Linked DNA regions of Nothobranchius furzeri. The protein of the gene in region 2 purifies or fractionates together with the protein of the main gene of each other region. This does not show direct contact. Links are inferred from orthologs where the notes say so. Each region holds a gene or a part of one and is shown on either strand. Other genes may lie near its edges. The genes, in order: nop56 and snu13b.

Region 1 (4,552 bases), on a different chromosome or scaffold from region 2:
TTTCCCCAGCAGGGAGGGGGGCGCCCAAGTACCTGAACAGAGCCTTTTCTGCTCCCAGGATCTGAACCGTGGATGCAGGGTACTTGGCCAGGTTGGTTAAACTGCCGGCGTGAGAAATCAGCCGAGCTCCAACCTAAAAGCAAAAAAAAAAAAAAAAAAAGAAGTCAGGCAAGCACCACTGGCAGATCTACATTACCCTGCATGCCAGTTACACACATCAGGGACCATCAGCACCAGAAGAGTTTCTCAGCACATCAAATCAGTGGATTGACAGATTTAGGCATGACATCATTGGTCCACATAAAACTAGATTAAATAAACTTGTGCTCACCACTTCTCCGATTAAGGCCGCCAGGTTTGGTGCCACCTGGCTCATCTTGGAGCGCAGGTACTCCTGCAGCCCCAGCCGATAAGCAGCCAGAGAAACGACACGATTGGAAAACCTCTCAATGTTGATGAGGTCGATGGGAGAGATGTCCATACCTAAAATAGAAACAACCCGGAAGTGGTGAGCAGAAGGAAATTCATGATTCTGTTTGGTTATCTGAACCATGAGCTTGTTTCTCCCGACAGGATCCGCAGTGAGGGTTTGTGCCTTCACTACAGGTTTATGAGAGAGTTTCTTTACCCCCCTGTGTTAGACACCAAGGACATTTAGAGGTCCAGGTGGGCAAAAAAGGGGCACAAGTTAAAGCAGGAACACATTAGCACATGTTACTCACCCATTGAGGAGCGAGATGCATCCAGGATGGCCTGGGCCTTGGTGCTGTCCATCACCACTTCCTCCAGGCTCTCCAAACTCTCCTCAGACAGCTCCTTTCTGTTACCAATCAGCTGCGCCAGGCGACAGTACATGGAGTTTTCAGGGACAATCTTAATCAGCTCTGGAAAGTGGTAACCATACCACTCACTGGAAATAAAACCAAAACCCTTGTGTAAAAACAGGTGGTACAAGCTTAGGGTTTTTGGTGATTGTGACAAATCTCAATACAACCTGTCTCACCCAACAGTGTTGCCCTACTAGACTAAAGCTAGCACAGCACAAGCGTTAGGAGAGGTTCCTGTACCTCCTGTTTCTATACAGACAGCTCTCTGTGGTACGCTGCCTGTGGTAAGCATTAGGAGGAGTGCTCAAGAAAACATTTCACTTATGAAATTAAAGAAAAATGAGCTGAAACGCTCAGCAGAAACATTTCTTACAGATTCTAACCAGTATACCCCACATATGATCAAATATAAACCTTCAGATCAGAATCCTACCGGACACGCATAGAGAATGTGTTGATGTCTTTGTCGAGCTGATCCAACAGAGCGATGGACTGGATGATCATGTTGTCAGCCCTGTTGACGTTAAATTTGACTTTAGCTCTGGAGTAGCTGTGACCGAGACCCAGCTGTGCCTTGGATGCGGCCTGGGCAGTCAGACCCTTCACCAATGAGTGGAAGTGCAAACGCAGGCCTGTTTGAATCAGAGAAATGGCTAGGTGTGTTAGTTCGTACTGGGAGGGAATAGTGAAAGAATGCTGTTTTTTGATGGCTGTTCAGATTTTCAGTATGAGCCTTCATGAGCATCAGGATCACAAGATCACATCACAACAGCTTTGAAATGTTCAGAAGACGTGAAGTCAAAATCCATCTGTAAGTGACCTGATTGTTATGGCTTCTTAGATCGAGCCATTAATAAAACTTAATTCTCACCTCTTGTTATTTCAGCCACCACGCCACCAGTCTGGATGGAAATATTAAATTCTTCTTGAAGAGCAGCTCCAATTTTGGCATCAGAAACTCCCAAAACAGCCTTCTTTTTTGCTGATTGGGGTAGGTTTGTCTCCAAAAACAGCTTGAGATCTGCATGAACCACACCTACAAACAAATAATCATAATTACCATATAAATATTTTTAAGGTAATTTATTTAATCCACATAAACAGAAGTTGGGTTAACAACTGGAGGCTTAATCCAGACCACATGGAGATCCTCAGATGTTCAGAGTTCACATTAGGCTGTCATCATATTAACTCAGTGGATTGACAGATTATAACACATCATTACTACTGAGGATGATTTAATCTCAGTGAGACAAAAACTGAACACTAACCTTCAGAAATCGCGTTCATATTCTCCAAGGCTGTCTGGGCCGACTTAAAGGGGAAGAAGGCGGCCAGGTTCACTATGCTGTTGAACTTTGCGACGCTTAGCACGCTCTCCTCTACCTGTCAGACATAAACAGTGAGCGATCTCAGCTCCGGCAGGCGAGAATCTGGGGTTTGATAAATCCTGCACTCACCTGTGGCAGCAGCATTCCGATCTCCTCCACCTCTCTGACGGCGAACAGCGCGTAGCCCGCCGCGTGCTCGAACAACACACGGAGCACAACCTGCACAAGATAAATCAGAAACAGGGTTTGACACAACTTAAGGCGTCGGAGGGAAGCTTCCTGCTCGACGGAAGTGTTAACACTAGACTGCACGTGGTCACCAGGAGGCAGCCCTAATTTAGGTATGTTGCATTCAGCTTACTGTCCTGTGTTCACTTTACGTGTCCACTTTTAAAGTTCAACAAACTAACACAACTATTTACCCGTAACCACGTCGCCTTGAAGAACCCACGTGTTGACCCGGGCCCACGTGAGCGCGCTAATAACCTAGCGTGCTAACAGCCTAGCAAAAACGTGTTGCTTTTAGACAGTAAAATTCAGTTGCAATCCTCTTGAATACGACCAACTTATTCAGGTGTGTGATTTCTGTTCAAACATTTAACCGTGAAATATAATAATATTCCCACTAACGTCAACCAAAGACGGTTTCCTGCTCCTCTGATGCTAGCAGGCCTTCGACGTGACTTTAGTAACGCCTCTAAAACTAACAATGTCTTTTTAAAAGTTCACTAGTATAAAAGAGTAACTAACAGTAACGAAGAAAACTTTGGAGCAAGGTTTGGATAGTTAGATTACCGTTTCTTACCATGTTTGTTAAATCTCTGCAGCAGCACGCGCCGCGTGTCTGCTAGTTCTGCTTTACCTTTCGAGAAAGACGTTTCACTGAGCTGGAGCGTGCCCCAAGTACCGCGTTATCTTCCTATCACCGCGAGATCTGAAACTGCTGCAGACCTCACATCTGCAAAATCTGCTTATAATCAATCACACTGAAGTTTAATTGGCGTCTCAGGCTAATTAATATGGAAGCGTATGTGTTACAGAAATAATATTATGCAGTAGCAGAAATGATATTTCATTTTCATATTACCACTGCCAAATTTGACTCATAAATAAAATTAACAAGCAATCCTCTGCTTTTTAACTTTCTTCTTCATCATTGCTTATTCTGTGACTTAATGAAAAGAATAAAGAAAAACACATTTAAGATTTAATTTTTAAATAACACTCCAGCAAAAATGTAACAAAATTAAATTTGAAATGTCAAATTTGAAAATTAAACTGCATTAGAAGAAATGCTATTTCATATTCACAACACAACTGCATAGTGTGATTCACAATCAAAATGAAAAAGCATTTCTCAAAACTGCTTTTTAAGTTTCTTATTCATCATTGCTTATTCTATGACTTCATGAAAAATGATAAAGAAAAAGGCATTTGAGAACTAGTTTTCAAATAACACGCCAGCAAATGTGTAACAAAATTCAATTTGAAATGACAAATCTGAAAATGAAAATGCATTTGCAGAAATGCATTTTCATTTTCACTTTACAACTGCTTAGTGTGACTCACAATTAAAATGATATAGCAATCCTCTTTTCAACTTTCTTCTTCATCACTGCCCATTCTGTGACTCAATGAAAAGGATAAAGAAAGAGGAACTGGTTTGTCTTTTTCATGCCCGCCCTGCATTAAGTTCCATAATTCAAATTTTTTTTATTATTTTTTTTTATTTCTGCTTTTAAGATCTTACAAAAACATTCCTGAACATTTTGGATTAATATACAACGTTATTGACTAACAGCACGTACACATCAAACAATATAGCAAAAGAGAGAGAGAGAGAGAGAGAGAGAGAGAGAGAAGGAAAAGATATAAATAAAAATACAGAGAAGAAAAATAAACAAAACAATGCTCTGAATGGCTGAAGAACAACAAAATGAAGACTTTGGAGTGGCCTAGTCAAAGTCCTGACCTGAATCCGATTGAGATGCTACTACATGACCTTAAAAATGACAAGACGACAATGGCGGCGGCGGCAGTAGCACGCAGCGGCCACTCCGGAGCCAAATGGTGCAACGTTGTTTATGTTTGTGCATTGTGGTTTTTATTTTTTACTCCATGTATGAATATTGTATGATTCTACCTACATACTAAATAAGTTTACGGTTTTTCTTTTTTTCCTTTGTACTACCTACTTAGAGAGGACATGTCATGTTAGGTCAGTCTGTTCTGTCCTTAGATAGTGTGATCTCCCTGTTATTTTTATGTTGTAAATTTATGTTGCATGTAGCGCCTTGGTCCTGGAGGAACGTTGTTTCGCCTCACTGTGTACAAACCGTATATGGCTGAAGTCAAATTCAAAGTCATTTTATTGTCATTTCTACTACATGTGCA
Region 2 (4,590 bases):
AACTAGTTGTATTTACTGTTGAAATACAATCAGTTTATAGAAAACACGCTTTAGATTTATCATTATCAGATTCCTCATTGCCAGATTATAATCCAAACCAGTAGACGATGGACATCAGGAGACAGCCACTGATGCTGGTAAATCTTTTAAGGCACCAATGACTGTCCATCTTTAATTTCACATTGAACCAACTTTAAAGAGAGATAACCCACCCTGAATAAGTGTGTGTTTTGTGTGTCCCCGAGTGAATGAACAGTTGGGATTTCCTTTTTGTTAATTGCATGTTTTAAAATGTGCTTTTGTCGTACAAAGATTGAAGGTTTCTTTCCAAATGAAAATCACTTGATAATTTTAGTCTTCATTCACCGATCCAGATATGTATTTGAGTGAGATACACACACCTAGAGTTAAGCCTTCTGAAAAATGCTAAAGCTACTACGTACCCTCTGGTATGCTAACTAGCCTAGCTAGCTGCTAGTTGTTAATTATCTTACATTTAAACAATTGAGGAGTCAGTCATTAGAGCCTAACACAGTGGAGATTAATTCATGATCATATACATACATGTCTAGAAAAATAGTTATTCTTGGTCACATCAAGTTTTCAGATTAAACAGTCATGTCAAGCTTAGCCGGCTGCTTGTTCCAAGACAAGACAGGTATGGTTTAAAACCACCCAAAGACAGTTAGTGACAGCGACTGGATGGGATGGGAACACTGATCCCGTCACGCAAACTTTCAGAACAAATAAAGTCAGCTCTCACCGTTAACTGACTGATTCCCCGAATCCCCTTCATCTCTCCTGTCTCCTTCAGCCAGGACAACGATACAATATGGCTGAATGGAAAGTGCCCTACCCAGAATGCATAGCGCGTTCATCTCTAGCTTGCATAAACCGCGCGCCCTCTTCAGACCAACAAATAAACTGCATCAACAATTTTTCCAGATCTAAAATCACAAAAAACAAAGAGTTCGAGAACAGCAAATGGGAAATATGAATCAAATTGATTGTGTGTGGAAAATAATTGGCAAATTAAATCTGATTAGATCGTGACACTGATTAATATTTTGCATTTACATAATTAGTAATTCTATAATTAACTTTCCATCATCATCATCATCATCATCATCATCATCATCATCATCATCATCATCATCATCATCATCTTTATAAAGCATTTTCCCACAACTAATAGTCACAGTCCACAATTTAGAAAAAAAAACGACTTCATGAAAGCCCACAAACGCCTCAGGTTTAAAACGAAAACGGGTTCAAAGATAAAAAGTCTAAACCTTCTTTCATATTTTTGTTTTTTTTATTAAAGGTTTATAAGATATCCCCTCGACATTTACAGTGTCATAAAGCAATACACACCATGATACACACTCGAAAGCTGTTTTAAAATAACTTTATTTGAACTTTAGAAAGTATTTTTCAGTTTGTTCATGTTGTTTGTTAATAAAGTTTGTTTTGAAAAAATTACATTCCCTGTGCGCATGTGCAGCCTGACGACCATCACACACGTGGGGTCAACGTTTGGATCTAGTGCATGCTGCAGATAATAGTCGTTTTGTGGCGCTATTAAAACTCGAATGAAACAAGAATAATTCACGTTTCGATTGTATTTATATTCTGAAGACAAATCAAATAGTCCTCCGTGAAGCATTTCGCCGAGAGGGCCGGATTACAAAAATGGTGAGCTTAGTGTAAGAGCTAATAGGCTAACAGACGGGCTTGCATGTAGCATGAATAAGAACACACGGTTGTGCGCTTTCTTAAAATAAGATAATGTGATTTTTGTTAAAGCTGGTTTGTTCTGTTGAAGCTTATTTTGAACCTTCTCATTTTTGTGACCAGAGTGAGCCCCAAGTGAACCCAAAGGCCTACCCTCTGGCCGACGCCACCCTGACCAAAACCATCCTGGACCTGGTGCAGCAAGCCTCCAACTACAAGCAGCTGAGGAAGGGAGCTAACGAAGGTGTGGAAACTATTCGGCTATTTTACTCAACATTTATAACAGAATTTGTAACGAAACAAACGTAGAAGGTGAAAATTTTGCTTTTACATGTAATTATTGGATCATAGGCCGTGTTCTCACTGCTGACTCAATGGTCGAACCAGAATTTCTTTCTCAGATGTGACCCACTTCTGCTTTTTATGACCCACATCTGCTTTTAATGACGTTCACAACACATATTCGTCATAATTATCAAGTTAGACCTGGGTCCCTTTCATATGTAATACTTTAAATCTGAATTTTACATCGACATGTGACAGATGTTCCTATCCTGCGGCAGAGGAAGCAGGAAGCTCTTCTTTACATGTGCGTGTCTGCAGCGCTGTACACTTGCCTCACTGGAGGCTGATGGCAGCTGCATTATCAAAAATTAGAATGGCGCATTAAGACCAATCCATCTATTTTCTTCAGTTTATCCGGGGTCGTGTCACGGCAGCTGCAGTCTACGTCGAGAGGCTTATACTTCCCTCTCCTCAGCCACTTGGGCCAGCTCCTCCCGCAGAATCCCAAGGTCTCCCCTGGTCAGCCATGACATATACAGTGCCTTAACATGCACACTAGAGAACCAAAGTATTGCCCTAAAAAGACTTCTGTAGTTTTTTAAAATGCATATAACGCGTTAGTCTGGCTGAAAGGGAATTGGTTCTAATCTAGTTCAAATGATAATGATAAATGACCCGCACTTGTGTAGCGCCTCTCAGAGTAAGGACTCCAAAGCGCTTTACTCTACAGTGTGTAATTCATCCATTAACACACACATTCACACACTGATGGTGATTAGCTACGATGTAGCCGCAGCTGCCCTGGGTGCACTGTCAGAGGCGAGGCACCCAGATAATACAGTAGCAAGGAAGCGCTGTTGAACGACGGGCGCTTTGTCCCTGTTAACCTATGCTCTCAGTCACATCAGCTGGGAAGCGCCACAAAGGCTCGCTCCGTGCAGCGATCATTTTGGCGTGAGCTCTATTTTTACGTGAGCCGTGAGTGAACAATTCTGGCAGGAAGTAAACTAAAGCAGAAGAGGCAGGCTGGTAAATTTAACAAAAAAAAAATTCACAATAAAACACTGCAATTGATAAAAGTGATCATGTTTGTGTATCTAAATAGACTAGAGAGATGAAAAGGAACAAACACACACCTGCAGAAAAACGTAGTGTTACCATAATTTAAAATTCAGTGTTTACAGCAAAAGATGGATTTAATAAATGTGAATACAAACAAATGCACAGCAGCAGAATCAGCACAGTGTCCAATATCAACAAGCAAGGCAAACTGGTTACACACACACACACACACAGAGCAAGGGCATGTTTAGAAAACAGTAGGCGTGAGCAGAAGTGCTCGTTGAAAATTCTCGCCTGATGTGACCAGAAGAGGAGCGGAGAGCGCACAAATTTTGTGAGCAATCCACTCCGCGGTTCTTCGCAGCTGGTGTGTTCTGGGCATAAGTCTCCTCCCAATTGGACGTGCTTCTCTCAATGTGGAGGAGCAGCGGATCTACTCCGAGCCCCTCCTGTATGACCAAGCTTCTCACCCTATCTCTAAGGGAGAGCCCAGACACCTAGTGGAAAAAACTCATTTTGGCTGCTTGTATCCACAATCTCATTCTTTGGGTCAATACCCAAAGCTGGTGACCATAGGTGAGGGTAGGAACGTAAATCGAAAGCTTCGCCTTATGGCTCAGCTCTCTTCTCACCATGGCAGACGGTACAATGTCCGCATCTCTGCAGACTAGGGCTGGGCAATAAATCGAAAATGTATCGTTATCAAATTTTCTGACTTATCGAGATAATTTTCCCATGTCAAGATGTGTGTAGGTTGTCAACGTTCATGTCCCTTTAAGAAGCTGTACCACCTCGTAAAAGTATGACTCAATGTAAAACATGTGACAGCCCCATCTAGTGGACAACTTTTGTTTCTGCGCATTCCTGTAGTTATCGTCCGTTTATCGTTATCGAGGTGAAATCCTCATCGTGATATTGATTTTAGGCCATATTGCCCAGCCCTACTGCAGATGCATCACCAATCCACATGTCGACCTCATGCTCACTCGTGAACAAGACCCAGAGACACTTAAACTCCTGTACTTGAGAGAGGACCTCATCCCTGACCCGGAGAAGGCATTCTACCCTCTTCCGACTCAAGACCATGGTCGCTGACATAGAGGAGCTGATTCTTATCCCAGCTGCTTCAAACTCTGCTGCAGACTGCTCCAGTGAAAGCTGGACATCACGTTCTGATGAAACTAACAGGACCACATCATCTGCAAAAAACGGAGACTCAATCCTTCGGCCACCAAAACAGATCTCCTCCACACCTTGGCTGCGCCTAGAAATCTTGTCCACAAAAGTTATGAACAGAACGGGTGACAAAGGGCAGCCTTTAAGACTTACAATGTCATTTTAGTATTTTACATTATCAAACGCAGTCTACTAAAATAATGCCATATTTCTCAAATATGTGGCTTTTGGGTTGTTTTTAAACAATTCTGCATATACAAATGCTAAAAGATAGGGATGTGTATTGGTGAAATTCTGGCGATACGATACTTATCACGATACAGGGGAGACAAT

What was found.
Region 1: the proteins of snu13b (region 2) and nop56 fractionate together in Homo sapiens (co-fractionation; 3 studies listed by BioGRID, with this or other methods). This does not show direct contact. The link is inferred for Nothobranchius furzeri from reciprocal best matches to the Homo sapiens genes SNU13 and NOP56.

Annotation. Positions count from the first base shown.
Region 1 is NC_091743.1:55,550,667-55,555,218, reverse strand, and holds the start of nop56 (nucleolar protein 56), read right to left. Parts: upstream 3,107-4,552; 5' UTR 2,967-3,106; coding exon 2,964-2,966; intron 2,500-2,963; exon of another isoform or gene 2,378-2,499; coding exon 2,288-2,377; intron 2,214-2,287; coding exon 2,099-2,213; intron 1,864-2,098; coding exon 1,699-1,863; intron 1,460-1,698; coding exon 1,261-1,459; intron 911-1,260; coding exon 723-910; intron 675-722; exon of another isoform or gene 556-674; intron 484-555; coding exon 332-483; intron 134-331; coding exon 33-133; intron 1-32. UniProt on the Homo sapiens protein: Involved in the early to middle stages of 60S ribosomal subunit biogenesis. Required for the biogenesis of box C/D snoRNAs such U3, U8 and U14 snoRNAs. Part of the small subunit (SSU) processome, first precursor of the small eukaryotic ribosomal subunit.
Region 2 is NC_091756.1:29,118,897-29,123,486, forward strand, and holds the start of snu13b (NHP2-like protein 1), read left to right. Parts: upstream 1-1,514; 5' UTR 1,515-1,692; coding exon 1,693-1,695; intron 1,696-1,857; coding exon 1,858-1,978; intron 1,979-4,590. Other genes in the region: uqcrc2b (cytochrome b-c1 complex subunit 2, mitochondrial), read right to left, coding at 764-796.